Caenorhabditis elegans: one gene and its partner. The protein of the gene in region 2 interacts with the protein of the main gene of each other region in a pairwise test. Each region holds a gene or a part of one and is shown on either strand. Other genes may lie near its edges.

What was found.
Region 1: the proteins of sek-1 (region 2) and hsp-60 interact in a protein complementation assay, tested with the Caenorhabditis elegans proteins (one study listed by BioGRID).

What each region holds. Positions count from the first base shown.
Region 1 is NC_003281.10:1,614,292-1,630,599, reverse strand, and holds hsp-60 (Chaperonin homolog Hsp-60, mitochondrial), read right to left. Parts: upstream 10,859-16,308; 5' UTR 10,842-10,858; coding exon 10,695-10,841; intron 10,546-10,694; coding exon 10,237-10,545; intron 9,174-10,236; coding exon 8,781-9,173; intron 7,542-8,780; coding exon 7,164-7,541; intron 6,167-7,163; coding exon 5,849-6,166; intron 5,356-5,848; coding exon 5,194-5,355; 3' UTR 4,797-5,193; downstream 1-4,796. Other genes in the region: Y22D7AL.4 (Transcription initiation factor TFIID subunit 7), read right to left, coding at 520-720, 1,036-1,190, 3,829-3,961; Y22D7AL.10 (10 kDa heat shock protein, mitochondrial), read left to right, coding at 11,678-11,704, 11,757-11,870, 12,210-12,329, 13,160-13,225. UniProt on the Caenorhabditis elegans protein: Implicated in mitochondrial protein import and macromolecular assembly. May facilitate the correct folding of imported proteins.
Region 2 is NC_003284.9:7,811,312-7,826,339, reverse strand, and holds sek-1 (Dual specificity mitogen-activated protein kinase kinase sek-1), read right to left. Parts: upstream 9,607-15,028; 5' UTR 9,537-9,606; coding exon 9,524-9,536; intron 9,465-9,523; coding exon 9,374-9,464; intron 9,267-9,373; coding exon 9,134-9,266; intron 8,015-9,133; coding exon 7,631-8,014; intron 7,480-7,630; coding exon 7,229-7,479; intron 7,167-7,228; coding exon 7,055-7,166; intron 6,304-7,054; coding exon 6,277-6,303; 3' UTR 5,304-6,276; downstream 1-5,303. Other genes in the region: eef-1A.2 (Elongation factor 1-alpha), read right to left, coding at 1,073-1,330, 1,380-2,200, 2,351-2,663. UniProt on the Caenorhabditis elegans protein: Dual specificity protein kinase which acts as an essential component of the p38 signal transduction pathway which is also composed of upstream effector nsy-1 and downstream effector pmk-1. May phosphorylate pmk-1.

The DNA of each region.
Region 1 (16,308 bases), on a different chromosome or scaffold from region 2:
GTGTATCTCCGCGGGGAGTAGAGATATCAGAAAACTTCAATAAAGAAAAAAGTTTAGAATTTTTAGTTTTATACATTTACAATGTTGTTTTTTCCAAAAAATAAAAATAAACATTTATTAATTTTTTTTTTACTGTTTGGAAAAAACAACATTGTAAATGAATAAAACTTAAAATTCTAACCATTTTTCCTTATTGAAGTTTTTTGATAACTCCACTCCCCGCGGAGCTATGCCGCTTCAAAGTTTGAGCGGCGAGAGAGGGGAGGCGCTGACAGCTAGAGCGCTCTCGCCGCCTGCGTCTCCCCCTCTCTCGTCGATCAAACTTTGAAGCGGTGTATCTCCGCGGGGAGTAGAGATATCAGAAAACCTAACAAAGGAAAAATGCTTAGAATTTTTAGTTTTATTCAGTCATTAAGTTTTTTTTGCAATTTTCAGATTTTTTTTTTTTTTCAAATTCCAAAATTTTTTTTTAATTCCAAAAAAATTTGGATTTTTTCAAATATTCTACTAAAACCATACCTGAACACCCTTCTCCACCACTTTTCTTAATTTTTCTCTCTCTGTCTGCGTCTGCTCATCCCTCGTCGGTGCCACCACCTCCGGTTTCTCGGCTCTCTCGGCAACCGGATCTTCGATTAGAATTGTGCATTTTAGGGTAATATGATCGGTGGGGTCGTTGATGTTATACACTTTTGCGGTGCCGGAAATTGAGAGGTTTTGCTGGAATTTTGGGAAATATTGATTTTTTTTGAAAAAAAATTTTTTTTTTTTTGAATTTGAAAATTTTGGCCTAAAAAAATTGTTTTTTAATATCGCTTTTCAGGTTTTTCCCGAAAAAAATCAATAATTTCTTCCATATATATATAAATTCCGACATTTTTTACTGAATAATTGATTTTTAGGAGGATTTTTTAATTTTCGAAAAAATTCAGAAAAAAAATTTGACATTTAAAAAAAAAAAAATTTTCAGAATTTTTTTTTCGATTTTTGCTTAATTTTTAACAAAATCAAGAAACTTTTTTACTAAAAAATTACATTAGGCTCCGCCCCCTTATCGCCAGGCTCCGCCCCATTTATGTCCAAAATTCCGGCGTAAATGTGCCCATTTGTACGGATTTCGACCTCAAATTCGGGTTTTTCAAACCACGTGGATTCAAGTAAAACTGGAAATTTTAGGCCATTTGGGAGTTCTGAAAATTAGAGATTTGAGAAAATAAAAATTTTTGATTTTTTTTTGGAATTTTTTTGAAATTTTTTTTTCAAGAATTTTTTTTTCAAAAAGGGATTGGTTTTGAAAACTGATCATAAATTTGAATTCTCCTTATTCTCAGCATTCAAATGACACCCATCATGCCTATATTCCGCCAACTTTCACAAAATGTGGGTCCCGCCACGAAAATAGCCGGTTACTGTAGCTTCAATTTCGTGGCGGGACCCAAAATTTGTGAAAGTTGGCGGAATAAAGGCGTGATGTGTGTCAAATTAAAGCTAATAGTGGGGAGAATTCGAAATTAAGGATAGTTTTGAAAATTTTTGAAAATTAGAAAAAAAAATCTTGAAAACTTCAATTTTTTGCATTATTTTTTTCTGAAAACTTTATTATTTCTAAAAACTAAATGAAAATTCGAATTCTATTCACTTCCAGCTTCAATTGAGGCCCCATATTGCCTATATTCCGCCAACTTTCCTAAAATTTGGGTCCCGCCACGAAAATAGTGGGTTACTGTAGCTTCAATTTCGTGGTGGGACCCAAATTTTCCGAAATTGCCAGATTCCAGCCAATAAAGGTGTTAAATTGAAGCTGAAAGTGAGGAAAATTCGAAATTGAAAATATTTTTGGGAAATTTTGAAAATTGGAAAAAAACATCTGGAAAACTTCAATTTTTTGCATGTTTTTTTTTTTGAAAATTTCATTATTTCTAAAAATTATGTATAAATTTGAATTCTCCTCACTTTCAGCTTCAATTTAAGCCCCATATTGCCTATATTCTGTCAACTTTCACAAAATTTGGGTCCCGACACGAAAATCACCGGTTACTGTAGCTTCAATTTCGTGGTGGGACCCAAAATTTGACGAATTGACGGAATTAAGGCAATATGGAGGTCAGATTGAAGCTAAAAATGAGGAAAATTCAAAATTGAAGATATTTTTGGGAAATTTTGAAAATTGGAAAAAAACATCTGGAAAACTTCAATTTTTTGCATGTTTTTTTTTTGAAAATTTCATTATTTCTAAAAATTATGTATAAATTTGAATTCGCCTCATTTTTAGCTTCAATTTGACACCCATCATGCCTACATTCCGCCAACTTTCCTAAAATTTGGGTCCCGCCACGAAAATACCCGGTTACTGTAGTTGGAGTTTTCGTGGTGGGACCCGAAATTGTTCAAAATTGACCGGAATTAAGGCAATATGGGCGTCAAATTGAAGCTTAAAGTGAGGAGAATTCAAAATCAAAGATATTTTTGAAAAGTTTCAAAAATTGAAAAAAAAATGTTTCATAATTTTTTTTTCTTTTGAAAACTTCATTAATTCTAAAAATTAAACGAAAAATTGAATTTTTCTCATTTTCAGCTTTAAAATAACATCATGCCTATATTCCGCCAACTTTCACAAAATGTGGGTCCCGCCACGAAAATAGCCGGTTACTGTAGCTTCAATTTCGTGGCGGGACCCAAGATGTTCAAAATTGACCGGAATGAAGGCAATATGGGGGTCAAATTGAAGCTTAAGGTGAGGAGAATTCGAAATTAGGGATATTTTTGAAGAATTTGAAAAATTGCAAAAAAAAAATTCCGGTAAACTTCAATTTTTTCTGAAAACTTCTTCATTTCGAAAAACTAAGTAGAAAATCGAATTCTCCTCATTTTTAGCTTTAAAAAAACACCCATATTGCCTATATTCCGCCGATTTTCACAAGTTTTGGGTCCCACCACGAAAATAGTGGGTTACTGTAGCTTAAATTTCGCGGCGAGACCCCAAATTTTGTGAAATTTGGCGGAATATAGGCATGATGGGGGTCATTTGAAAGCTAAAAGTGAGGAGAATTCAAAAATAAATAAATTTTAGTACGAATTTCGAAAATTGGAAAAAAAATATCCGAAAAAAAATTGTTTCGAAATTTTTTTTTTTCTGAAAACTTTCTTATTTCTAAGACCCAAGTGAAAATTTGAATTCTCCTCACTTTCAGCTTCAATTTAAGCCCCATATTGCCTATATTCCGCCAACTTTCACAAAATTTGGGTCCCGACACGAAAATCACCGGTTACTGTAGCTTCAATTTCGTGGTGGGACCCAAAATTTTCAAAATTGACGGAATTAAGGCAATATGGAGGTCAGATTGAAGATCAAAAATGAGGAGAATTCGAAATTAAAGATATTTTTGAAAATTTGGAAAATTGGAAAAAAATTTCCAAAAAAAAAACACTTTTTTTGGAATTTTTTTTGAAAACTTTTTTTTTCTAAAAACTAAATGAAAATTCGACTTCTTCTCACTTTCAGCTTCAAAATGACCCCCATCATGCCTAGTTTCTGACAAATTTGTAATTTTTGGGTCCCATCACGAAAATAGTGGGTTACTGTAGCTCCATTTTCGTGGTGGGACCCAAAATTTTCAAAATTGACGGAATTAAGGCAATATGGGCGTCAAATTGAAGCCAAAAGTGAGGAGAATCTAATTTTTATCTTAATTCGCCAACTTTCACAAAATTTGGGTCCCGCCACGAAATTGAGGCTACAGTAACCGGTGATTTTCGTGTCGGGACCCAAATTTTCCGAAATTGCCAGATTCAAGCCAATAAAGGTGACAAATTGAAGCTAAAAATCACCATTTTTCAAAAAATCGCCCATTTTCAGCATCTCATAGTGCTCAAGTTTCAGAAAAACTGAAAATCGCTGAAAAATGTCGAAAATCTCGATTTCCTCCATTATAAAGTAGACATTTCGTATGGTTCCGCTCATTTTTTTGCTGGAAAATTCAAATTTTCCGGAAAATTACAAGTTTTTGGCCAAAAATTCAAACTTTTAAGAAAATTCTAAAAAATTTTGGCTTAAAAAAATTAAAAATTTCAAATTTACAGGAAAATTCCAATTTTTTCGGCTCAAAAATTCGAATATTCTGGTAAAATTCAAAATTGTCAGGAAATTTTCAAATTTTACGCTTAAAAATTTTTGAATTTTCAGTGAAAAACCCATTTTTTGGCCAAAAAATTCGAAATCTCAAGAAATAACCCAAATTTTTGGCTGAAAAAATCTTTAAAAAAAAAGAAAAAAAAAGAAAAATTTGAATTTGAGGGTTAAAAAGTTCAAATTTTCGGCTCAAAAATGGCATTTTCTTGAAAAATCCAAATTTTTTGGCTAAAAATTCAAATTTTCAAGAAAAATTGAATTTTATACTTAAAAAATTAAATTTTTGGCAAAAAAATTCGAATAGTTAAAAAAAATTTAATTTTTTTGTTGAAAAAATCGATTTTTCACCAAAAATCCAAATTTTAAGCTTAAAAATTTAAATTTTTCAGAAAAATTCAAAAATTGGCTGAAAAATTCGAATTTTCAATAAAAATCAAAATTTTCTGGCTAAATAACTTGAAATTTCAAAACATGCAAAATTTTAGCTTAAAAAAATCCGATTTTCAAAGAAAATTATAGTTTTTAGCTCAAAAATTCGAATTTTCCAGGTAAAAAATCCAAATGTTCGTGAGAAAAAGCTGCTGCAGAGAGCCGCCACCTGTAACCATGGCGACCTCCCTCACAGCAAAAAGCGGAAATGTGTGCAGGTGGGGGGTACTACTCGTCTATACAAATATAATTTATAAATGTGATATTATATAGAGAAAAACGGGGTGGGGAGGAGAGTGAAAACAAAGAAAAAAACGGAAAAAAAAAACAAGGAGATTCTATATATTATACTCTAAAAACAAGGGGAAAAACACTAAACTAAAAAAAATTGAGGTCCTAAAATTGCGAAAAAATTAAAAAAAAAAACACCATTGAAAAGTTATCATCAAAAAAAGGGGAAAAAGAGCCGTAAAACAAGAAAAAAACAAATGGCTCAGAGCACAAAAGATCATAATTTTTTTGGGGAAATTTTTGGGGAAAAAATGATGGGAAAAACGACAAAATTGAGCAAAAACCAGTGTTTTAGAGAGAAAATCAATCCATCGGTGTCGTTATTTCAATGAGAGATTGAGAGCTTAGAATCCCATTCCTCCCATACCGCCCATTCCACCCATTCCACCCATTCCACCGGCTGGTCCACCAACTGCTTCTTCCTTTGGAATTTCGGTGACTACGCATTCGGTTGTGGCGAGAAGTGAGGCGACTCCTGAAGCATCTTGGAGAGCTGTGCGAACCACCTGGAAATTTGGAAAATTGCGGTTTTTGGGGAGATTTTTTTTTGCATAAAAATTTTCGATTTTTCTTGAAATGTTGAATTTTCAGGGTTTTTTTTTCCAAAAAAAAAAAAAAGACGGCCAGAAGCAATTTTTTTCCATTTTTTGACCAATTTTTGAACTACTTTCAAATAATTTCTGCTGAAAAACTCCAATTTTTGGCTGAAAAATTTAAATTTTCACGTAAAATCCAAATTTTCCGCCTGAAAACTTCAAATTTTCAAGAAAATTCCTAATTTTTGGCTTAAAAATGAAAATTTTCAGTGAAATAATGCAATTTTTGGCTAAAACATTAAAATTTTGGAGGAAAATCCAAATTTTTGGCTCAAAAATTCAAATTTTCACGAAAAATTCAAATTTTTTGGCTAAAAATTCAAATTTTGGAGGTAAATCCAAAATTTTTGTCTCAAAAATTCAAATTTTCACGAAAAATTCAAATTTTTGACGCTGTATATACCTTAGTTGGATCGATAATTCCAGCCTCGAACATGTCAACGAACTTTCCGTTGAGCGCATCATAACCATATGATGTATTGCTGTTTCCGGTGACTTCATCAATAATCGACGATGGCTCAAGACCGGCATTTTTGACGATTGTGGCGATTGGCTGAGTGAGAGCCTTCTTGACGATATTCACACCGATCTGTTGATCCTCGTTGGCTGCTTTGTAGTTTTTGAGTGCTGTCAGAGATCTGAGAAGAGCAACACCTCCTCCTGGAACGATTCCTTCTTCGACAGCGGCACGCGTGGCACACAGAGCATCGGTGACACGGTCCTGTAATGAAAAAAAAATTGATGAAAAATCATACAAAAAATTGCAGAAAACCGATAAAATCTGGTGGAAATCAAGATTTTTCCGCGCAGGAAAACCAAAATTTCTGCTATTTTTGAGCATGCTCAGCGGGAAAAATCAATTTAACAGTTTTTTCCGCGTTTTTTTATCAATTTTTTCAGTTGAAATTGCGAAAAAAACAGTTATTTTCGGCTTCTAACAACAAAATTTTAAGTGGCAATTGCGAAAAATTTCGGCTAGAAAGTTCGAATTTTAAGAAACATCCATATTTTTGGCTGAAAATATCAAATTTTCAGGGAAAATCCAATTTTTTGGCTGAAAATATCAAATTTTTAAGGAAAATGCAAAATTTTGTCTGAAAAATTCAAATTGGCAAAATAGCCATTTTTTCGAACCAAAAATCGGCTGGAAATTGCTAAAATCGCAAATTTTAATGTTTTCCGGCAGAAATCTGTAGTTTACACGGCAAAATCAAGCTGAAAATGATCGACTAAAAAATTCTAACTTTCAAGAAAAATCCAAATTTTTGGCTGAAAAAATCAAATTTTCAAGAAAAATTCAAATTTTTGGCTGAAAAATTCAGATTTTTGGCTAAAAAAATTCAAATTTGTAAGAAAAAGTCAGATTGTTTAAATAAAAATTTAAATTTTCAAGAAAAATCTGCAGATTTAGTGGGTTTCTTTCACAAAAATGGGGGAATTTACCATAAATTTTACTCGAAAGGAGCACAAAGAGAATCTTGCGTTTTGTTGCAAATAAAAATAAAAAACTGAGTTTTAACGAGTTTCCAATGGCACAAACGGCACAAAAAAGGTTTTAAAATCAGGTTTCTCGACAAAAATCTGGTAGAAATTGAGGTTTTTTTAAACCAATTTTCTGCTAAAAAAAGCTCAAAAATGAACGGATTTTGATCATTTTCCCACGGAAAATAGCCAGTTTTTCTTCAATTTTTCTCCAATTTCAGCCAAATTCCGCACACCTTCTTCTCTCCAACTTCAACTTCAGATCCTCCTCCAATCTTGAGCACAGCGACTCCCTTGCTCAACTTGGCGAGACGCTCATTAAGCTTCTCCTTCTCGTAATCGCTCGTCGATTGCTCAATTTCATCGGTGATGTGCTCGATTCGCTTCTCGATCTCTGTTTGATCTCCACGCCCGCGAAGAAGAAGAGTATCGTCCTTGGTGATGGTGACCTCATCGACTTCTCCGAGATCGTTGGCTGTGATATCCTCGATCTTAATGAGATTCGAGTCATCTCCAAAGATCGTTGCTCCCGTCGCAATTCCCATATCCTTGAGCGTGTTCTTGCGGTTATCTCCGAATCCTGGAGCCTTGATTGCGACGACTTGAAGTCCGACCTGGAAGAGAAAATTCTGCGGTTTTACAGGGTTTTTAGTGAAAAATTAGTTTTTTTTTAAACTTAAAATCGTGGAAAATGATGGAGTTTAGAGGTTTTTCAGTGAAAATATGTATTTTTTAGCAAAAATAGCAAAAATAGACTTTCTCAGAAGTCAATGCGCACTTTTTCACTGATAAAAATGGAAAATTATGTAGAATACTGAATAAATCCGACCTGGAAGAAAATTCTGCGGTTTTAAAGGTTTTTCAGTGTAAAACACATTAATTAACTTTAATTTAGCGCGATTTTCAGGTGAAATCTTCATGTTTTTGGAGAAAATCCAGGAAATTATGAAATTTCCTGGCGATTTTCTTGCTGAATCCCTAGTTTCTTCTGCTTTTTTTCTATTTTCTTGCCGTAAAATTTGTAAAACTCTCTCAACTGATAAGAAAAAGAAGATATATTATCATTCTCTAATCAAGGTCGCTCGTATTTTGTTGCGAGTAGCCTCCTGCTGCTAACAAACATCACTGATCAAAAAATGCTCGCGGTTCTTTGAACTTGAATTTTCTGATAAAAATTCAAGTTTTCTAGGCTAAAAACGTGAATTTCCGGGGATTTTTTGGACGAATACAAAATTTTTGCAGCATTTTTAGCCATTTTTCAGTCGAAATTGGCAAAAAAACACATTTTTTCGAACCAAAAATCGGGATATTAAAAGTTTTTAATGCCAAAATAAGTAATTTCCGGCAGAAATCTGTAGTTTCCAAAAGTTTGTAAAATCAAGCTGAAACTGATCCGAAAAACAGTAATTTTCGGCTTTTAAACGAATTTTTCAGTCGAAATTGCGAAAAATTTTGGCTGGAAAGTTCGAATTTCAAGAAGAATCAAAATTTTTGGGTGGAAAATTCAACATTTCAGGAGAAATCCAAATTCTTGGCTGAAAAATTGAAGTTTTCAAGAAAAATCCAAATTTTTGGCTGAAAAATTCAAAATTTCAGGGAAAATCCAAATTCCTGGCTGAAAAATTCAAAATTTCAAGAGAAATCCAAATTCCTGGCTGAAAATTTCGAATTTTGTACTTTTTTTTCGTATTTGGGGGTAAACTAATCAAGAAAACGTCGGGTTTCAGCAAATTTCGCATTTTTCTCCGTATTTGGGGGCAATAATCGAAATAACGCGAATTTCCGTCAAAAAATGGAGTTTCAACGCTGGTTTTCGACAAAATTTGCAGTTTTTCGCTTCTTGTCGTCTGTACCTTAAGTCTATTAAGAACAAGAGTGGTAAGAGCCTCTCCATCAACATCCTCGGCAATGATAACCAATGGACGGCGGAGCTTGTTGGCGAGCTCAAGAGCCGGCACAATATCCTGAACTTGGCTGATCTTCTTCTCGCTCAACAAGACAAGAGCCTTCTCGTACTCGACTTTAGCTCCTTTCGCAGAGGTGATAAAGTACGGCGAGATGTATCCTCTGTCGAACTTCATTCCCTCGATAAGCTCGAGCTCATCGTTCAGCGTTTTTCCGTCCTTAACAGTGATGACTCCAGTGGTTCCGACCTTCTTCATGGCGTCACTGATGAGATTTCCGACGACGGTGTCTCCATTGGCGGAAATTGTGGCGACTTGAGCGATCTCTTCGGGGGTGGTGACCTGCAGGAACAAGTTTTTTTTAGTTAAATTATTGCTAAATTTAGTTTTTTTTCTGATTTTTTAGGTTTCTAGGCGCGATTTTTGGTTTAAAACAAGTAAAAATTCAGGTATATCGAGCAAATATAGTCAGAAATAGTCGCGATTTCCCTACAAATCTGTGAATTTTTGGCCATTTTTTCGGGATATTAGGGCTTTTTCATTCAAACAACAAGCTTTTCGTCCTGAATTGGGTAAAAAATAGTGGCTTTTCAAGGTTTTTCAGGGCAAATCAGTGAAATTTTGTCAGCTTTCCGGATTTTTAAGGTTTTTCCGTCAAACAAAATAAGATTTTCGTTCTGAATTGGGTAAAAATTGCGGGGTTTCTATGGATTTTGGCCAAAAATTCGATATTTTCAGCTTTTCAGGCCAACATTGAATGAATACCGCTTCAAAATTGGATCAGAGCTCACAACTGTTTGAAAAAACACGAAATTTTGCAAATTTTCCGGGATATTAGGTGCTTTCGTCCTGAATTGGGGAAAATTGCGGGTTTTTATTGATTTTGGCCAAAAATTCGATATTTTCAGCTTTTCAGGCCAACATTGAATGAAAAATTGCATCAGAGCTGCCAATTGTTCCAAAAAGCACCACATTTTGGCGAACTTTTTGAATTTTCAAGGTTTTTCGAGACAAATCAGTGAAAATTTGTAATTTTTCGGGAATATTCGGGTTTTTCCGTCAAACAATAAGCTTTTCGTCCTGAGTAGGGGAAAAATGACGGTTTTTCAAGATTTTCAGAGCAAATCAGTGAAATTTTGTCAGTTTTCCGGAATATGAAGGTTTTTCCGTCGAACAAATAAGCTTTATGGCCCGAATTGGGAAAAAATGACGGTTTTTTGAAGATTTTGAATTCCTGGCAACTGATTTTAGCCACAAATTCGCGATTTTCAAGCAGATTTGAGCGAAATTCTAGTTTTTCCTCTAACATCAAATGAAAATCGCTTCAAAATTGGGTCAAAAATCCCAATTTTTCCAAAAATCACTGTGGCTTTTGAATTTAAATCCACAATTTCCCGGTATTAACCTTCTTGGAGATCTTCTTGAGCTCTGCAACGACGACTTCGACGGCGTTCATGACTCCACGACGGATCTCGACAGCGTTTCCGCCTTGACGAATGCTCTCGAATCCCTCTTTGGCGATGGCTCTGGCGAGAACTGTGGCGCAGGTGGTTCCGTCTCCAGCCTCCTCATTAGCCTTGTTGGCGACATCTTGAATGAGCTTGGCTCCCAGGTTCTGGTATTTGTCCTTGAGGTCGATGGATTTCGCGACGGTGACTCCGTCCTTTGTGATCTTTGGGCTTCCCCACGACTGCTCGATGATCACGTTTCTTCCCTGAAAGAGTTTGGAGTTTTAGAGGCTGTATTTATGAAGAAAAAAAAATTAAATTTTGCATTAAACCGGAAGTTTTGTGTATAAAAATACGTTAAAATAGATTTTTTTACAGCATTTTTTCCTCAATTTTCACATCAAAATCCCCGTACTTTTGGGCCCATAGTGACAGAGACGGCGTCGGCGAGCAGGTTGACTCCGACGAGCATGGCCTGTCGTCCTTCGGCTCCGAACTTGACGTCCTTGGCGTAAGATCTGACGACGGCGGTCTGAAGTCCCTTTCTGGCGAGGCGAAGCATCTTTTGTGTCTGAAAAACTACGAAAATTGTGTGAAAATCTGCAGCGGAAAGGCGAAAATGCGAGCAAAATCAGAGTTTCTCATCGAAAATGAAGCGAGAAGCCTTGCATTATCGTCTGAGAAGCAGAAAAGGAGTGAAAAATAACGAGAATGGATGAGAAATCGGCTGGGAAAACGGTAAAACAGATATTTCCCCTAATTTAGACGATAAATGGCCTATAAATAAGCATTTTTCAATCGTTTTTTATGAAAATGAAGCGAGAAGCCTTGCATTATCGTCTGGGAAGCAGGTAATGACTGAAAAATACAGGAATAAATGAGAAAATAGCTGGGAAAACTGTAGAATAGTTTTTTCCCCTAATTTCGACGAAAAATGGCCCAAAAATAAGCATTTTTCAATGGTTTCTGATGAAAATAGAAGCAAAAAACCTCAATTTTTCGTTCAAAATATGAAAAATGAGAGAAAAATAACGAAAATGACGCAAATTTTGATGTAAAATGGCTAATTTACATCAGAATAGACTTTTGCATCATTTCACTCGCTCCGCCCAGTTTTGCAAGGTGCGCACACTTTTCTAGGTGGAGCTGAGCGCGCTGATTGGCTGAATTTGCGGCGCGGTGTCTGCCATTGGCCCGACACGCCTAGATTTGCAAGTTTGCCGCACGAGATTTTTCGCGCCGCACATTTATTTTCTGCTTTTTTTCTCGAAGCTTCTTTTGGTTTTTTGATCATTTTCTGAATTTTCGCGGGTTTCTTCGGGTTTTTTCGTTGTTTTCATGTAATTTCCCGCTAAAAATAAATTTTAAAACTCAAAAAACCAATTTTTCAGCCGAAAAATGTTCCTCACCGCTGTCCGCCGATCGGTAAGCTATTTTCCCGGTGTTTTCTCCGAATTAAACGCGTATTTTTTTGCAGAGCAATGTCCTCAAGACCTTCAAGCCACTCTATGATCGTGTGCTCGTCGAGAGAGTCGCCGCCGAGACCAAGACAAAGGGAGGAATCATGCTCCCGGAGAAGTCACAGGGAAAAGTGAGCAATTTTTGGCCTAAAAATTGATTTTTCAGGTGAAAACTGATAAATTTCAACGTCTTGGAGCAGATTTCTAGCACAAAAATGCCAATTTCACCGTCAAAATGGTGCAACTTGGCGTCTAAAACACAGTTTCTAGCTAAAAACCTTCAATTTTATACGAAAAATGTTAATTTTCACCGAAAATTCCGTAAAGTCTGGTGTAATGATGCAATTATCGATTTTCCCTGCCAACACGCTCTCCGACTGCTCGCGGAGGTTTTTGTCCAATTTTTATCCGAAATTACCGAATTTTCACTCAAATTAAAGCAATTTCCACCTAATTTTCGAATATTTCAGGTCCTTGAAGCCACCGTCGTCTCTGCCGGAGCCGGACTTCGCAACGAGAAGGGAGAGCTCGTCGCATTGACTGTGAAGCCAGGAGATCGTGTCCTTCTCCCAGAATACGGAGGCACCAAGGTACAAAATGCGACGAATTTCGAGCGAAAATATGGATTAATTGGCGAATTTTTAATGTGAAAATCTGAATTTCCGTTGAAATTTCACACAATTTGGACGAAAATCGGGATTTTTTTTAACATTTCAGTGTAAAAGTAGCGTTATATTACTGAAAAGTCATTGAAATCAACGAAAATTGCACAAAAATTGTGTTTTTTCAGCCGAAATCCAAGATTTTTTCAGAAAAATCAGGAAAAATTGTATTAAAATACGATTTTTCCCCCAAAAACTGAATATCACGCGCTTTTCGCTCTAAATTATTGGGGAAATACCTTTAATATAGTACATTTACGCTAAAACCCAACGAAAATTGCACAAAATTTGCCGATTTTCACCGGAAATCTAGCATTTTCTCTGTAAAAATTCATTTTTATGAACGAATTTCGAGAAAAACTGAATTAAAGTACGATTTTTACGCCAAAAAACTGAATTTCATGGGTTTTTCGCTCTAAATTATTAGGAAAAAACCTGAAAATCAGTTTATTTTCGCTGAAAATCCACAAAAAGTGCCGATTTTCACCGGAAATCTAGCATTTTCTTTGAAAAAATCCCAAATTTCCTTCGTTTTTTAAGGAAAAACTAGGTTAAAATATGATTTTTACGCCAAAAAAACTGAATTTCAGGCGGTAAAATGTCAGTTTTTTCCAGTGAAATATAGTTTTAGGCCAAAATTTTGACAAAATACCTGAAAATTAATTAATTTTTTGCTTACAGACCGCGAAAATTGCGCAAAAACATATTTTTTCGACCGATTTTCGCAGGAAATCCCAACAATTTTTCCCCAATTTCAGGTCGTCGTCGAGGACAAGGAATACTCAATCTTCCGCGAGTCTGATCTTCTCGGAGTCTTCCATTAAATTATCTTCCATATGGCTTTCGGTCTCACAAATCTTCATTCAATTATTCCCCTCTCTCTCTCTCTCTGTTTATTTAATTTTTTAATTTCAATTTTTTGAGTTTAGATTTTAGGAAATTCCTCTTTTTTGTTGAAAAAATCGATTGTTATAGTTCCTTTTTTCCTTGATTTTTCGCCGGTATTGTTTTTCTTTTTTTTCGATTTTAAATAATGATTTTTCAGATTTTTCTTGTTCTCTGGCCACAGACAATGTTTTCGATGTGACAGGGCGAACCGAGAAAAGCTCAATGTGGCTTGGAGAACCGGAAAAAACAAACGGCGTACTTAAAAGACACGGCAGTGGTCGAACCTTTTCAAGCTCTGAGCTATTTTTTAACCGTTTTTAAATATTTTTAGCGCTTTTCTGCAATTTTTTGAAAAATTTTGAATTGCCGCCAATTTAATTTGTTCGATGGAGCGCGCTTGCATTATTTTACTGATTTTTTTTCGGTTTTTTGGAAATTGAATTTCCCGTCAAAAAGATCCAAAAATAAACTAAAATGATGCAAGCGCGCTCCATCGAACATCTTGAACTCTTGGCGGTAATTCGAATTGGAACGCAAACTGAGGATTTTCCTTCCAATTTTCAACAAAAAAAAACATTTTTTTTGGGGTACGGTAGCTTCAAAAGAACGCAAACACCGCAGTGCTTACGACAAAATGCAGAATTTCTCAATTTTTTGTAAAAATCACATGCCTATGGGTAAAATGAGGTGCTGAATCTGAATTTGTTAGTTAAAATTCATAAAACTAAAGTTGAAATGTCAAAAAATGAGTTTTTATGACTTTATCGTCAGGAAAATTGTATTAAAATTCATTTTTGCAGATTTTCATGTAAAAATTTGAAATCTTCGTGACATTTCACCCTAGAAAAACCTTTTTGTGAGTTTGCAGTGCAAATATTGAACATTTTGGGGTACGGTAGCTTCAAAAGTACGCAAACACCGCAGTTTTTACGACAAAATGCAGAATTTCTCACTTTTTTGTAAAAACCATGTGCCTAGGGGTAAAATGGGGTGCTGAATCTGAATTTGTTAGTTAAAAGTCTTGAAACTGAAGTTGAAAAGTCAAAAAATGAGTTTTTATGCTTTATCCTCAGGAAAACTGAATTAAAATTCATTTTTGCTGATTTTTATGTCAAAGTTCGAAATCCTCGTTAAATTTCACCCATAAAACCTTTTTTGTGAGTTCTCAGCGCAAGAATTAATGTTGCTGATTTTCATGTAGAAATTCAAATTTATCGATAAATTTCACCTTGGTAACCATTATTTTGAGTTTGCAGTAAAAAATGCGGGAGTTGAGACGCAGATTCACATTTTTCTGGGCGAAAAATTCCCGCATTTTTTGTAGATCAAACCGTAATGGGACAGCTTGGCGCCAACATTCCTAGTTCCAAGGTGGCCAATTATTGGAAATTTTCAGCTATCCCACTGCCATCGGCTTGATTTCTTCTGGAAAGCTTGACCTCTCTGGACTATATCCAAAGCCTATTACAAGCTCAAATTGCCGATTTGCCGGAAATTTTCAATTCCGGCAAATCGCCGGTTTGCCGATTTTAGAGGAAAATTTCAATTCCGGCAATTTGCCCATTTGCATATTTGCCAGAATTTTTCAATTCCGCCAGTTTGCCGATTTTCCGGAAATTTTCAATTCCGGCAAATTGTCGATTTGCCGGAAATTTTCAATTCCGGCAAATCGCCGGTTTGCCGATTTTAGAGGAAATTTTCAATTCCGGCAATTTGCCGATTTGCATATTTGCCAGAATTTTTCAATTCCGCCAGTTTGCCGATTTGCCGGAAATTTTCAATTCCGGCAAATCGCCGGTTTGCCGATTTTAGAGGAAATTTTCAATTCCGGCAATTTGCCGATTTGCATATTTGCCAGAATTTTTCAATTCCGCCAGTTTGCCGATTTTCCGGAAATTTTCAATTCCGGCAAATCGCCGGTTTGCCGATTTTAGAGGAAATTTTCAATTCCGGCAATTTGCCCATTTGCATATTTGCCAGAATTTTTCAATTCCGCCAGTTTGCCGATTTTCCGGAAATTTTCAATTCCGGCAAATCGCCGGTTTGCCGATTTTAGAGGAAATTTTCAATTCCGGCAATTTGCCGATTTGCCGGAAATTTTCAATTCCGGCAATTTGCTGATTTGCCGGAAATTTTCAATTCCGGCAAATTGTCGATTTGCCGGAAATTTTCAAAAATTTTGAAAAATAAGTTTTTTGGAAAAAAATTATTTGAAAAAAATTTTTTTTGAAATTTTTTTTTTCAAAATTTCAAAAAATTTCAAAAAATTTTCAAAACCCCTCATTTTCTTTTTCAAGAATTTTTCAAGGAAAAGGTTGTCTGGAGCAAATAAAATCAAATTATATTTTTAAAAAAAATATTAAAAATCTGAAAGTTAATTTTTTTATTTTTTTTTATTACTGAGAAATTCGATTTCTAATAAAAAAACATCGATTATTTATTGATTTCTGCAAAGATTGAAGTTTATTTCTGAAAAAAATCAATATCAGTTATTATGAATTTGCGAAAACAAATCGATTATTTATTTTTTGAAAAAAATTTTTTTTTAAATATTTTTTTTTATCCTTACTGAAAACTCTGATAATTAGTGATAATGCGTAATACTTTGTAACACATAAAAGCTGTTAATTCTCCCAGACTGCCGTAAACCCCCATAAATCCCGCAAGACCCCCCAAGGTCGCATCAACTTTCGCTCACCGATTTCGGGAATGAAGGCGCTGATGTCAATTCTCTTTTATATAATTGCTTCATTTTCCTATTTCGAATGTTGTGTTCGTCTTTAGTTTTCTCATCAGTTTTGTATCGATTTTTCGTTTTTCTAATAGAATTTTTTAAGGGGATTTTTTTTTTGCAGTCTGGCCTAAAAAATTAAACGTTAAACATTTTAAATTAAACATTTTTTGAATTTACTTCCTCATCAGCTTCAATTTGACACCTATATTGGCTATTTTTGAAATTTTCCGAAAAATAAAAAAAAAAAAATTTTTCAAAGTTTTTTTTTCATACTTTTAAATATTG
Region 2 (15,028 bases):
ATTGGAAAACAAACACAATTTTCCCTAATCTTTTCAACCTTTTATCAAGTGTATTTAGTTGATTTCAAACGTTTGATGAACTGAAAATTAGCCTCGCCTTTTATTTAATATTTAGTTTGCAGAACACCCAAATCAGGAAGTTATAATGAAATTAGAAGCTCAAACGTATTCAGACTTTTTATCTTCTCTCTACGATTGATCTCCGACCATTCACGACTTGCTCACCTTTCGTTCATACTTTGCGGAAATAAGTAGTAGCTCCGCTAGTTTAAACAAAAATTGACCTATCGCTGCATCAATCGGAGTGCTCTGTGATGGGCCAATATTTGTCGTCGCTCTTTTTCACCAAACGTCCGACCCTATTTCTCTTTCTACCCTCCACGCTGACCGAGCAGCAATCATCAAATAGTAAATGAAAAGAGCGACTCGTCCAAGGTCATCCACGTTGGTTTGCATGCCAAAACGATGGGGAAGATGCAATCTTATCTGTTCGCATCGTTTGTAGAAATTGCTGGGAGTAAGCAGATTGAGAGACAATCTATTTCATCAGATGACTCAACACAATTGGTTCAATAACAAAATATTTTTTATTTGTGAATATATCGTCAATTATTTGCACACAAACTTTCGAAACAAAACGATGGATGACAGAATGCGACAAAACAATGCATGACATATTAACATAACAGTTTTTAAAGGATTTTTGGAGTGGGAGGATTGGGGGGGGGGGTCGGGGGGAGTCATTAGTGATGATCAAATGGTACAAGTAACTGTATTTATTATTTTTGATGAAGACCGCTTTGTTTTGGGGAAAACATAACGAGCCTTAATAAATACGTAGCGAAGGTTTTTTTGGATGGACGGTTTTTTGAAACAAAAAAGTGTTGCCCAAACACACGACTTTTGTACAAAAGGCTGCGTGGACGAGATGAACAATGAGCACCCATGCTCAAAAAAATTAGAGTTTTGAAAGTTATATTACAAGCTATGGGTGGGAGGGGGTTAACAGGATAACAGATAAGCGAAGGAGTAACATGAGAAGGTTGAATGAAGGAAGCAGTGACCCAAGTGTTTACTTCTTCTTTGGAGCAGCCTTCTGGGCGGACTTGGTGACCTTTCCGGATGATCCATCGGACTTCTCAACAGACTTGATGACTCCGACAGCGACGGTTTGACGCATGTCACGAACGGCGAAACGTCCGAGTGGAGCGTAGTCGGTGAAGGACTCAACGCAAAGTGGCTTGGTTGGGATGAGCTCGACGATTCCAGCATCTCCGGACTTGAGGAATTTTGGGAAGTCCTCAACCTTCTTACCGGTACGACGATCGACCTGTAAAAATGAGGATGAGCTTTGGAAAGTAACTAAATATATTGCTTACCTTCTCCTTAAGCTCGTTGAACTTGCAGGCGATGTGAGCGGTGTGGCAATCAAGAACTGGAGTGTATCCATTGGAGATTTGTCCTGGATGGTTCATGATGATAACCTGAGCGTGGAAGGTACGGGCCTCCTTGGCTGGATCTTGCTTGGAGTCGGAGCAGACGGATCCACGACGGATGTCCTTGACGGAAACGTTCTTGACGTTGAATCCGACGTTGTCTCCTGGGACGGCCTCTGGAAGAGACTCGTGGTGCATCTCGACGGACTTGACTTCAGTGGTCACGTTCTGTGGGGCGAAGGTGACGACCATTCCTGGCTTGATGATTCCGGTCTCAACACGTCCGACTGGGACGGTTCCAATTCCTCCGATCTTGTACACATCCTGGAGTGGAAGACGGAGTGGTCGGTCAGTTGGGCGTTGTGGTGGGATGATGGAGTCAAGAGCCTCGAGGAGGGTCTTTCCGGAAGCGTTTCCTTCCTTGCGTTCAACAGCCCATCCCTTGAACCATGGCATGTTCGAGGAGACCTCAAGCATGTTGTCTCCGTTGAATCCGGAGATTGGGACAAATGGAACAGCCTTTGGATTGTATCCGATCTTCTTGATGAATCCGGAGACCTCGTTGGTGATCTCAGTGAAACGAGCCTCAGAGAATGGTGGCTCGGTGGAGTCCATCTTGTTGCAAGCGACGATGAGCTGCTTGACTCCAAGGGTCTGGGCAAGGAGAGCATGCTCGCGGGTTTGTCCGTTCTTGGAGATTCCGGCCTCGAACTCTCCGGTTCCGCAGGCGACGACCAAAACGGCGCAATCGGCTTGGGAGGTTCCTGCAATATTGTGAAATTAGTGAAATTTGAAATTTTGTGAAATTAGAAGAAATTGTGAAATTCCTAAAATCTGGCCTAAATTTTGGGCTTAAAATTTTGCGAAATATTTCGAAATTTAATCTTATTGCCTGAAATTTGCAATAAACTAACCGGTAATCATGTTCTTGATGAAATCACGATGTCCTGGGGCATCAATAATGGTGATGTAGTACTTGGCAGTCTCGAACTTCCAGAGGGCAATATCGATGGTGATACCACGTTCACGCTCGGCCTTCAGCTTGTCGAGAACCCAGGCGTACTTGAAGGATCCCTTTCCCATTTCTTGAGCTTCCTTCTCGAACTTCTCAATGGTACGCTTGTCGATTCCTCCGCACTTGTAGATCAAGTGTCCAGTGGTGGTGGACTTTCCGGAGTCGACATGTCCGATGACGACAATGTTAATATGGACCTTTTCCTTTCCCATGATGAATTCGTGAAGGTTGGTTACTGAAAATGATAAATTTTAGGATTTCGAACTTTTTAGGCCGGAGCAAATTTTAGAGAATGAGGAAAGGGAGGCTTAAATATGTTTTAGGCTGAGAGATAAATTAGGAAATTGTCGAATGAATTCGAATTCAAATATCCAAAATATTTAGGCCAAAACAGGAGGAAATCCAACGAACGTGATAGGTGTGCGCGTGGAGAACACAAATGGAGGAAAAGAAGAGCCTCCCGGTGTGTTTAGGCCGAGGACGGTGAATTCGGCTGCGTACACACCCCCATTCGCGACGAGACCCGCCTTTGCGTATGTGCCCCTTGTGCTCCGGCCGTCTGCGGTCAGTATTTTTCTGTCGGCTAACCGTCTCGCACTCTCCGAGTTTCGAAATTTTGCGTAATCTCTCTCAATGTGCGAGAGCGCGTGTGTTTGAGCGAGCAGATACGTAATTGGACAGAGACGTCTGTTTACATCGATATGAGTAGATTTTTGAATCTGGTTAGACGGAAAGCGTGCCTAGAACACGAGGCAAAAAAATGTGGAACGCATCAATCGATTTCTTTTAGAGGCACACAAAAATGTGGTGGGGTGGAGTATTCAGAGAAAAATAATATGGCTATGCACATAAAAGTAAGAAACTGAAAATAAATGAAAAGTGTAGAGGGAAATAAGAAATAAGAAGATGAACATGGAAGCTGGGAGCTCATCCAAATCAAAAGCGAGATTGAAAAAAAATGCATATAGAGGATCAATGAAAAGAAAATCAAATCAACAAGAAAATTGAATGAACAGCTATTTGAATATTTGAATTGTTTATGCGACTGAAATAACTAGTTAGGTTGGTTGTGGAATAAGTAGGTTTTGGAAAAGAGCCTGAATTTTAAAAAATGAGTTAGTATCGTAAGTGACTTTTTTTGTTTTAAATGACAAAAACAACTCAATATACCAAAATGCAAAACAATTATAAAGTTATTCTGAATTTTTTTTAATGCATTTTTTCACATTTGCTATTAAATCAAAATGACCGAATCATTTTCGAATTCTCGTGCACATGAATGCCTAGTTTCAAGATTTTTGTTTTTTCTCTTACTTCAATTATTGACTTGAAACACAGTTTTTCAAATATTCAGACATTTTTTTTGCAAAAAAGGTCTTTAAAACGTTGAATTATCGATTTTAGGACAATTTTACAGTTTCGGTGAATTTTTAAATCGAATTTTCATCACGAAGTGCCTGCAATTATGAAAAACATTTGTTTTAATTACAAAATAAACAAAAAACCAAGTAAAAATTGATTAACACAGCCGGAAAACGAAAAAAAAAATGTCAAAACAAGGTCATTCATTTGCGCGGGATATTGGAAGTAATTCTGCCTTATCGAATTTTTTTTTGCAAAATTGAGAAAATCATATAAAATTTATATGCCATATTGAAATTTTTTGTCATTAAGGCGAAAAACGCACAGACAATACCACTTCCTTAAGAACCAGAACGGTTTAGAAATAGGTTTTCCCCAACTTAATCAAATTTACTGTTTTTTCCCTCCTGCTGTAGCTTTCCTTTCGTGAGAAATACAATTATAATGCTGTTAAAATATGATTAAGTAAGAATTCTTGATTTACTGTTTTAATTAATGAAATCCGTGTTTTGATAATTGATCATGTTTCTGTGGTTTATGTATTCTTCATATTTCGTATTTACATATTTTTCAAATCCTCAAAACTGAAAATTTCATGTACCGATTCAAGAAAATTTATTGTTTTTATAATGGTACTGCTCACTTCATGTAGTGAAAACTTTTTGCAACGTCAATTGCAATATTTAGAAAGAAAATTGTTATTATTGAAATTCAAAAAGTTTCAACATGTTTCAAAAAGTTACATCATATATATAAAAACGTATTGTGGCTGCTCATACTCAACCACCGGGAATCTTGTGGCTCGACATCTGTGACCACACTCGTAATTTTATATTTGATAGCTCTGGCAAACCCGGCGTCAACAATCCAGAAAGTTAGTAGCATTTCACTTCTAATGAAAAAATTTTTCTAACAAAGTTTCACGAAAACACTCCAAGGTTTATGTTCAACAAAAATGTATGCTTGATGATTGGGAAAGCTTTGGCAACTTTGCTGTCGGTTGTGTCGGTTGCAATTCTGAAACAAGCATCAGTTGTTTTTAAGAATTTTGCAACTTTAGCAAACTCCGGTGAAAACGATAGAAATAATAGTAAAATAGAAGTCCGTACATGATGTGCCTTAATGAAACAAAACATTTATATTTCTTGGTCTTTTTTGTTTATATTATTTTCCAGATATTTTCAATTTATCAATTATGGCAATTCAAACAAGGAAAATGATATTCACTCGTTCTCTATTTATATATTGGAAAATTTAAAAAACGTTTTTATAAATATCTTGAAAAGCAACCAAAACCAACTATCCCAATCAAGTCGTAGTGTGATTTACTATTGAAAAATTTGAACTAAACTTGCTTTTTCACATTCTTATATTTTTCCTTCCTCTGGTTGCCACATTATTTTATCACTGGCGTCAGTTTTTACATAGCTCTGAAACAGGAAGACATTGCAACATCAATTCACGATATTTAACCGTTATCTGAATTAAAAAAAAATCTTTACTCGAGCAATATAAACCAAAAGAGACTCATATCCTTGATATGGGGTGAGGGAGAAAAGTGGGGGATGGTTGGTGTAATTGAAAACAAAACGTTTAGAAATTTGTAATGTCTGAGTTAGGGGAGAAAACGAACAGAAAAGAAAATGAAACGTGTACGCTGATTTTCTGGGCAAGAACTGTTATAAGGAGAATAAGCGCATAAGACCAGAGAAGAAGAAAAATAGAAAGAAGGATAAGTGATGTTGATTGTTTTCGTTTTTGTAACAGCACATCAATTTATAAATATCATTATTAACCCACAGATGAAACAAATGCGGGAGGAGGGGTGCAATAGAATACATTTTTGATTTCTAGAGTAGAATAATCCATGTTGAATACGAATTTGACATCGAAAATGGCACTGTATATGCAGAGGAAGAAGTTAAACAATTGAAATGAGAAGTCTGATGAGATGAGATAGGAATGACTACTAAAATCATTTAAGAAAACAACTAGGTCATTTCGAGTTTGATTGGAAAATTATGAGCTACCATTTGAAAATAAAAATCACAGATGCTAATAAACTACTTGAACATTTAAACGTAAAAAAAATGTAGAAAAACACCGATGATTGATTATAACTACGAGGAGAAGACACGAAAAAAGAAGCGATAGAGAAAGATTTCCTATAAAATTGAAAATGAAATAAGGATAAGCGGTTGACTCGGAAAGAAACGGTTACCAGAAGCAAAGAAATAATTGGAATCTGAGAGATATATGATATAAACAAAACATAAGAACATAAAATTCAATATTTGACAAAAAGGGAAAAGAAGTGATAATTTATTCCGTCCACGTTGCTGATTATTCAACAAATATCGATGTTCCATTGACGGCCAGCGAGGCGTACAAAAAAACGCTATTCTCAATTTGAGACGTGTCGTACTAGAAAAAGACTTGTTCGCCATTCGGCACACCCGATGCTCATCGTCGCCAAACAGTGTCGAGAATCTGCAATGAATGAATTCAGAAGTTTTTGCAATTTTTCGCAAATCTAGCATAGTTTTTACCTAACTAGGGAACCGTCAGAAGGTGCCCATCGGACCTTAGTAAGATTCAAGATTGTCAGATATAAAACGATTTTCAGATTAAAATACAAAAAATTATAAAAAATAACATTCAGTGGTGCTTTTACTGTAAGTTGGTCCTGCTGGAAACAAACTGTACATGCTAAGTTTTGGTGATGTTTTGAAGTTGATCTATACTTTTCTTTGCTGATGTACCGAACTGATTTTTTGACAACATTTTTTACTCTTCGAAATTTCTCAGAAATAACCTGACTTTTTGATTGTTTTTTTATTGCACTTATTTTGCATTTTTGTTATTTCTTAAAGCAATTTAAGCACACTTCACAAAATTGACATCATTCACCAATTTTCAATTTATTTTAAAGTGTTTAGTTTCTACAATAAAGTGTTTTGTAACAAAATACCGATTTTCACTAAAAGCTATCGTCCAAAAATTTTAACGCTAAACTTGAATTTTTAGACATAGAAAATAAAACTCTTTTGTATTTTAAGGCTTAGGAGGACAATTATACTTAGACAACAATTTTTAAGCCTAAAAATTAAAAATCAATTTCACGTTTCATTTAAATGGAGAAATTAATAAACATTTAATTTAATTTTACCCATTTATTTACAGATTGTTTTTCTCAATTTTTCAGCAAAAAAATTGTCTTTTTGATAGCAGCAAATCTTACCTCATTGATAAACCGAGCCATACTAAATTGCTTCTCATTTCTTGCCTGCTCCATAAACGGCATCGCCAATAATTCCGGATATTTGGGACGTTCATTGTAATCCTTTTCAAGACTGCAATTTGCAAATTTTCATACTCTTCCCAACTCCACACCCAGAAACTCCAAAAAACTCACCATCTCTTGACAAAGTACTGACAATCAACACTAAAACCACTTTCCATCGGCAATTTTGGTGGCGGCTCTTTCACAACCTGTTTCAATTGTTCAAATGGGGTTTTCCAATTTGCGTAGGGATGGGTGCCAACGGCGATTTCAATTATTGTTATACCCAAACTCCATACATCAGCTCTCACATCATAGGCTGACTTAGTCTCTCCATCAATTCTCTCTGGTGGCATGTAAGGTTTGCATCCGGCTTGTACAGTCTGTAAATCGAAACACTATATATATTTTGAAATTTTTCTTCCCGGTCATGATGAAATTGAAAGATAACTCTGATTGGCATGACATCATTCGGCAAATAAAATTGCATTTCATTTTTTTAATAGAGGTCTCATTTTTATCGATTTTCCGTACCTTGGCCATGCTGTTTGTCAAGTGACCTGAAATTCCAAAATCGCAAATCTTGACTTGTCCATGTCGATTTAACAGAATGTTCGACGGTTTCACGTCTCGATGAATCAAATTCAGTTGCTCTTTCATAAAGTTGAGTCCTTCAATGACCGACAGAGCCATTTTCCCAATAAACGGCTCTGGAATGTGTTTGCCAATTTTGTATGCGTGCCGGTAAAATTTGTCCAGCGACGTGTCCATCACTTCCATGCAAATCCAGACATCACCTTCGCGAAACATTGCTCCATAGAACCGTACCATTTGCGGACAGCAATCACTTCTCCTGCACGCGTCTAGCTCGTTGAGCATCTGCTTTTGAGATTGATCGTTGATTGATGATTTGATTCGCTGTAAGAAAATGAAATTTGCTTAGGATCAATTTAAAAGATAAATTCGATTTAGTTTGAAAATTCATTTTTTATTTTTTTCAATACGCGATTTGCTTAAGTCTCGGTTCAAACCAGTAATATTTAATTTATAATTTTTTTTTAGTATTTAAATCTGTAGTTTCGATTAATTTTTATATTGAGAATTTAAATATTCGTGATTTGAAAACATTTTTTGGTCAGATCAGTTTTCCATTTACATGTTGTATTTACTTTAATCTTGAACTTTGCCACAACTACATATGAAGTATTTGCAATATGTTCTAGTGAAAGTTCAACATATGAAATCTATGAAGTGACCTTTTTTATGGAAAATTTCCGCGTCACAGACTGTTCTTATTGTTGGTATGTCCTATTAACATACATATTGATGTACAATCACCTAGTCACTTATTCTAGTGTATGGATGAAAATGAATTTTTGAAATCAGTAAGTATTGATAAATCTCAATACATTCCATAAATGTTTGATATCAAGCTACTTTGAATCTATTTCTCATGTTCCTTTTCAAAAAAAAAAAGATTTTTTTCATCATATCAGAAACGAGTGACCTGCGTTTGAAATCCTATCCTCAAATTCTCATTTCTTCACTTCCATAATTTACCTTTGTTCACGAAAATTTTAATTTATACACCAACTTTTCAAAGGTGACGTGTGGGCGCGTGTGCCGACAGCCAAAAGGCAATCAGTGTGTCGTCTCACACGGCGCCCTTCAAAAAATGGAAATGCTTTCCGTTGGCAATGAAGACTAACTATTATTTTTGCAGTCACACCTAAATTCAATAATCTTCATCTTGCTAACTTGCATTTGCTTTTGAATAACTATTGTATGTGAAAAATGACACGTTGCATTCAAATTAGAATAGTTTTTCCCTAATTAAAGAAAAGTATTTTATGAATATCTTAAATTTATACAAATTGCCTATTTATTAGTGCACCAGCCAAATAGGAATTTGAATTTAGTTACTTTTTGAAAAGTTACGAAAAAATGAAACATTTTTTTGAAAAAACCGCTTTTGGTGAATTACCAAACATATGTACATAGTTAATTTTTTCAAACTGTTCTTGTTGTGATACTCACTTTTACCGCCATAATTATCCCGCTCTGCCTGTGCTGCATTTTCTCCACAATCCCATATCCACCTTTTCCAAGTTCTTCGAGTACGACGAGGTCGGTGGCGGCAATCTCAATCTCTTCGGACTCGTTTGTCAATCTGCATCAATCAAAAATTTCTCATACTTATATTATTATTACATAATTCGCCGCGCCGTCTTTACGTGTTCAATATCAAACCCGACACGGGTATCACCTAATACTTACTTGATAAGACATCTGTCTTCCAGATTCATTGTGGGCGTCTCGACCGGTGTTGGCATCACGATCTTCATGCCCGGCAGCTTGCGCTCACGTCCTACAACAAGTCGAAATTAGATGCTTTGGCAAATTTGAGGTAAATGAGATTTTTCTTACCTTTTCGCTCCATGATGTAAGACTCTAGAGAGACGTTCCGCACCGATCTACATAAATTGTAGAATTCGCCGACCAGCGATCGTCTGCAAAAATTAAATGAGGATAAGGAAAGAGCAAGAGACACGGATTTCAGCAAAAAATACGGTGGGTAAATTTTTCACAAAGCGAAAAATGAGGAAAAATGACAATAAAGAATACAAATGGTGGTTTCGCGGTTTTGTGAACAAAATTTAGAGGTGTCATTCAATCTTTTTTCGAATCTAAATGTAAAATAGATAGTGTTGGTCTTTCGTTACTTATCCATCAATCTGGTCCTTTAATTAAAGATTTGGGAATCACGTTTTTTCCTTCTTTTTTTCTCCTGGCGGAGGGTTCTCAGATTTGATGAATGAGAGTACGAAATTCTGTAGAAAAACGCGGAATAGATCGTTGAAAAATAGAAGAAATAAGAAAAATAGGAATAGGAAAAAAGTGAGGAAAAGATAGAAGAATGAGAAGAGAGCAGAAGCAATTTGGTGAGTAGGAAGCAGAAAAATAGAAAAAGGGAAAAAAGAGGGGCCCCCATTTTCATCCCAGTGAGAAAAAATTAATGTGAAAACAAAGCGAAAAACCGTTGCCCGGGATGTGTTGTCGTAAAAATTCAAATTGAAATCAAGGTGCCAGACCAAAACGAGAACCGAAATCCGTTTTTGTTGGTGTTGTCACTGGGAACCAATAGTAACCTTGGAGCGGGTGCATGAATTTTTATGGGATGTGATGTGAACAAGTGCAACATGGAAGCTGGGGAGGAGGAGCAAGATGGAGCTGCCATGAATAGCTGAGTCATTTATAAAGCAGGGAGAAAACGAAGTGTGAATCATTTAATTGGAGATACTGAATTTGGAAATATCACAAAGAAAAACTCATGGTTCCGCGGGATCTTCTTACTAGTTGCATGACTAACGCAGAAATAAATAATTTCCGTGGGTGGGCGGCAAGTAACTCATATAACATGGGGTTTTTTTTTTCAATTTTCGGAATATTAAATTTTTTAAACTTCAATTTACTATTTTTAGTATACTTTTGCAGTTTTTATCGTTTTATCCTTCATTTCCCCCAAAAAGGGCCCATAAAAACTCGAAAAAAACTGAGCGCTTGATTTATTGTTATTGAGAACTAGAGCAGTGAGTGAGTTAACGGAAGGGAAATACGACGAAAAAAGTATTGGGAGTCAGAACTTATAGTTTTTGTCAAATGTTTTAAGAGAAAAGTGGAAATGAAATTAAGCAGAACATAGATTTAAAAATAGTGAAAAAGTGCAAACGTTTTTTTCGGAAAAAGTGTCGAGAAACCGTTTTTGTGACCAAACACATTTTTGTCATGAAAAGTTGCGAAATTCGCAAGACCACACATTTCAGGAAATCCCGTATGTGTAATGGTCAGATTTTACAAAAATTGCCTGATAGTATAATATTGCGAAACTTTTTTTGTTGAATCATTTAGACGGTGTGGGTTCGCAAATATTTTTGTAAGTATTTCGGGACGCATGTACATTTTTAGTTATTCTTTTAAGTTATAGTGTTCAGTTACAAAAACCTTATAGAACTATACAATTTACTCAATTTTTTGGAAGAAAACCAATTAATTGATAAGATTGCTAAGCCACGAATATGCTTCAGACCCGTTTGCTCTCAACAAGATAATTCGTTGAAATCACCTTTCAAAATGTTGTTGTCTGTTCACAAAAAAATGTTGATCATCGGGGGGGGGGGGGGGGGGGGGGCACTGTGCACGTAAACAAGTGATAAGAAACGACGACAAAAGTTACGCAGGACACCACTATTCCTCCATCTCTCTATCACTTTGCCTCTCTGCATCTCTCTCTCTCTATCTTTCAATGCCGTTTTCTGTTAAATGTTACTTTCTACACTCGCCACTCTCTCTTTCTCTCTTTCTCTCTCTATCTATTTCATCTCATACACACAGACACAATCTTCCATTTGTGGAAAGGTATTGTATATTGTGTCTGCAGTACTTGTATTCTACTAACCTCACCCTAAAAATTGTTCATCATACTTTTTTGCATTCCAGCAAGTAGATGAGTCATATGCAAAACGAGAAAAAAGTAAAAGTATTTAAAAGAGGGGAAAGATATTCGAGACGTTGAAACATAAAATAAGTTATATTTCATGAAAAATTAAAAGTTTCTCAAGCTTCAACAAAGTTAAAAGCTCATGTTTATAAAAAACCAAAAAGGTTTAGAAAATATAAACTGTCTGAAGAGAAAAAATCAAATAAGTAATTGAAAAATATATCTTCGTCTAATAATACTGGTTCAAATAAAATTAAAATATTAATCATCTCAGATAAAAAGGTAAACGCATTGAGCTTTCAACTTAAAAAAAAGGTTAGTAGAAGTGGGAGTTAGCATCTCTGTAAATTTTCTATTTAAAAAAATACCGGGCTTCGAACTATTACTTGGAGAAAACACCAAAAGCTGCAAGCTGAAAGCTAAATAGCTCACACCACAAAATGAATTGAATAAAGTTATCCGACTAATAATTGAATAACCAAGAAGCCGTTAGATTCGAAAACATCATTGCTTTCGTCAGCTTGTCTTAGATGCTTGAAAAACATGAAAGAACGCTTTGGGAGAAGACTTAGTAATTTTTCGGGTGCATAAACTTTCTTCAATTTCTTGAACTTACAGTTCAGAAACATTGGTCAAATTTTTTTAGCAAGTAAAATAAAATGCAATGCTTGCAACAACATGGCCATAAAATAAACTGAAGAAAAAACACATTTTTCTAGACATTGGTTAGGCCTGTCAGAGGTTTATTGTGAGAGAACGTGATATATGTACATGGGGGAAAATTATGTCGCGGATTAGGTTGGAGTGCGTTTGCGCACCTATCATTAATGAGAGCTTCTTGCTTTTTTGTTTAAGTACAATGTTCAAAAATCAAATTTCCACTTTTCTAGGAATGCTTAGGGAACAATCAAATAAAGGTTCAATAAAAAAAAAAATAAAAATTTAAAAAAAACAATAAATGATTAAAGTAGAATACGCTTCACAACTATATATTAAGTTTTAAAAAGCTAGCAACACTACTCATTTAAAATGCAACTAAAAAATGCGAATTATTCTAGTCGTACACTGGTTTCAAGAAACTTGAAGAAGAACACAAGTTCCTTAAATGTTATTTCAAATAAACATAGGGACTCAACCTAAAATGTTGGTAAAGGTTAGAAAGTATAAAATGAGCTTTTAGATTTTTGAAAACTTTAAACCCAAAATTTGGTAAATTGATAATTTACAAAACATTTGGACTTTTGAAAAAGTTTTGATACAAATGTTTGTGATATATTAAGATTATAAAAATCTTTAAAAAACCCGTCTCTTCAGTAGACTTTCAAAAATATAAATCGCATCTTGTCGAAATCTCAAAAAAATCGCCCAACCCAATAATTTAGAAAAAGTGGGCGTAAATAAAAGAGAAATTACAACCTTTTCTGGACAGCTGGGAAGAACATAAATTGAGAGCTTGAAAATGGTCATTATTCGGGCAAAAAAGTGGTTCTGTTTGGTTAGCTGTGCGGATAGACAGACAAAAAGGCAAGTGTGTATGTGGAAAAGGTCCAAGTGTGGCGCAGACGTCTCTCATGTCCCACATCTAAAGAAATCCTCATCTCAAAGGTCTCTCAGTTATTTTTAGAAGGGGCAGAAGGTCCGGAGTGGAGAACGACAAGGGAGGTTTCTGTGAGGGACTGACGGACATGGATGCAGGAAAAGCAAAGACACATTGAATGAAAGGCGAAAGTAAAAAATGGAGAAAGAGAAAAAAAAGATGGGGGTCGATTGAACATGTACACATTTTTCCTACATTCCTTTTTTTTCTTTTATTTTATTTTTTCTCATCCGGTTTCACCATCTCATCTCATTTTCTTTTTCGTTTACTTCTTATTCTCATTGACGCATGTGAGGAGCAAGGAGAACGTGAGGATGATGTGAATGATCAATCCAGTTAGGAAGGGAGCGCAGAGGTGGGAATATCAAGGATTACTGCGAATTGGGCAATGACAGCCTACAGAGACAATCATCACGTTTTGAATTAAATTCTGATGTGACCCAGGCTCAATGAGTTGAACAATAATGAAGAAGTCTAGACAAAATGTAATAACTTCAACAATAGAAAAGAAAACAATTGTGAGTAGACTTAAAAGTTCATTGTAAATACAAAAACCTAAATGTGACTGAAACTTCAAACCGATCACAAGTTCATAACAACTGTTTTTATTGCGAATTTCAGAAAACGCTTGAAACAAAGAAAAATGTTTTTCAAATTTTCAGTGCTCTTGCTAAATATTTGAACAAAAATGCATATTCTCCCTTTTCGCCTATTTCGTCGACGTTGCAAACTGATAAAACCCCTGATGTTCAGATTATTCGTATCAAAGCGTTCTTTTGATTTACAAAACTGATCAGTTGTCTGTCCAGCATAGTGGTTTACCATGGGTGAAACTAAACATATTTTGCACATCAGTGGAAGGGCTCGAGATCATTGAGCATAATCCAATTAAGGTATTGAAAATCAAGAGATCACAGAACACTCATAAGTTTCTAGCATGCTCTTAGAATGTGCATATCTATGCGACAGCATATAAAAATATTTGGACAAAACGAAATGTGGTTAATGAAAACGTTTTTCTCTTTGGTAGAATGCTCCGTGTATGGAGGGAAAAAAGAGAACAAACTCCAATTTTTCTACAAATTGATAAGGAAATATTTTTGATGGTTGAGTAGAATCAAGAAAGGAGACAACCATAACAGCCAACTAGCAGCACACCTACGACACACACAAGAATAGCGTTTGGGTCGTCGCACTCATCGGAGCAAAATGGATAAGCACAAAAAGTTTCGAAAAATGGCAAAGGCCAGAAAAACAAAGGCGTAGTAAAAGAAGCCACCGGAAATATTAGTTTTGTTTGTGTATAAATGACATTTTGGCACCGCAATGCCATAGTGGGTGTGGGTGTGAAGTGGACACAATGGATAAGAGTTCTTCCCACACATGTGTAAACGTTGTTTTGCTGGAAACGTAGTATATTTTAAACTATATTCAATGTCAAAAGGAAAATCAAATTTGACGGTGGAGCAGCGCCAGTGGGAAAGTTCTTAAAAGCCAAAATACCTAAATGATATAGTAAAATGTTTCAAAGAATTCTCAGTTCAAAAATTACAAGATCTAGCACACAATGAAACAAAATAAGACAGGACGATCTCAAAAAAGATATAAGACCATTAATACTGCCGACGTGACTTCTGCCAAGAAATTTCAATTTCATGACCGCGTGGAAAAAAAGGTAGACACTTGTTAATGATGACATAAAAAGCAAAAATCGGTCGGATCTCTTTTGAGGGATTTCCAGGAGAAAAGAGCTGAAAATCTTCACCAACACACGCCATCACAAAGACTTTGATAGAAACAGGAACATCATTTGAACACTGAATGAACAAAGATCGAA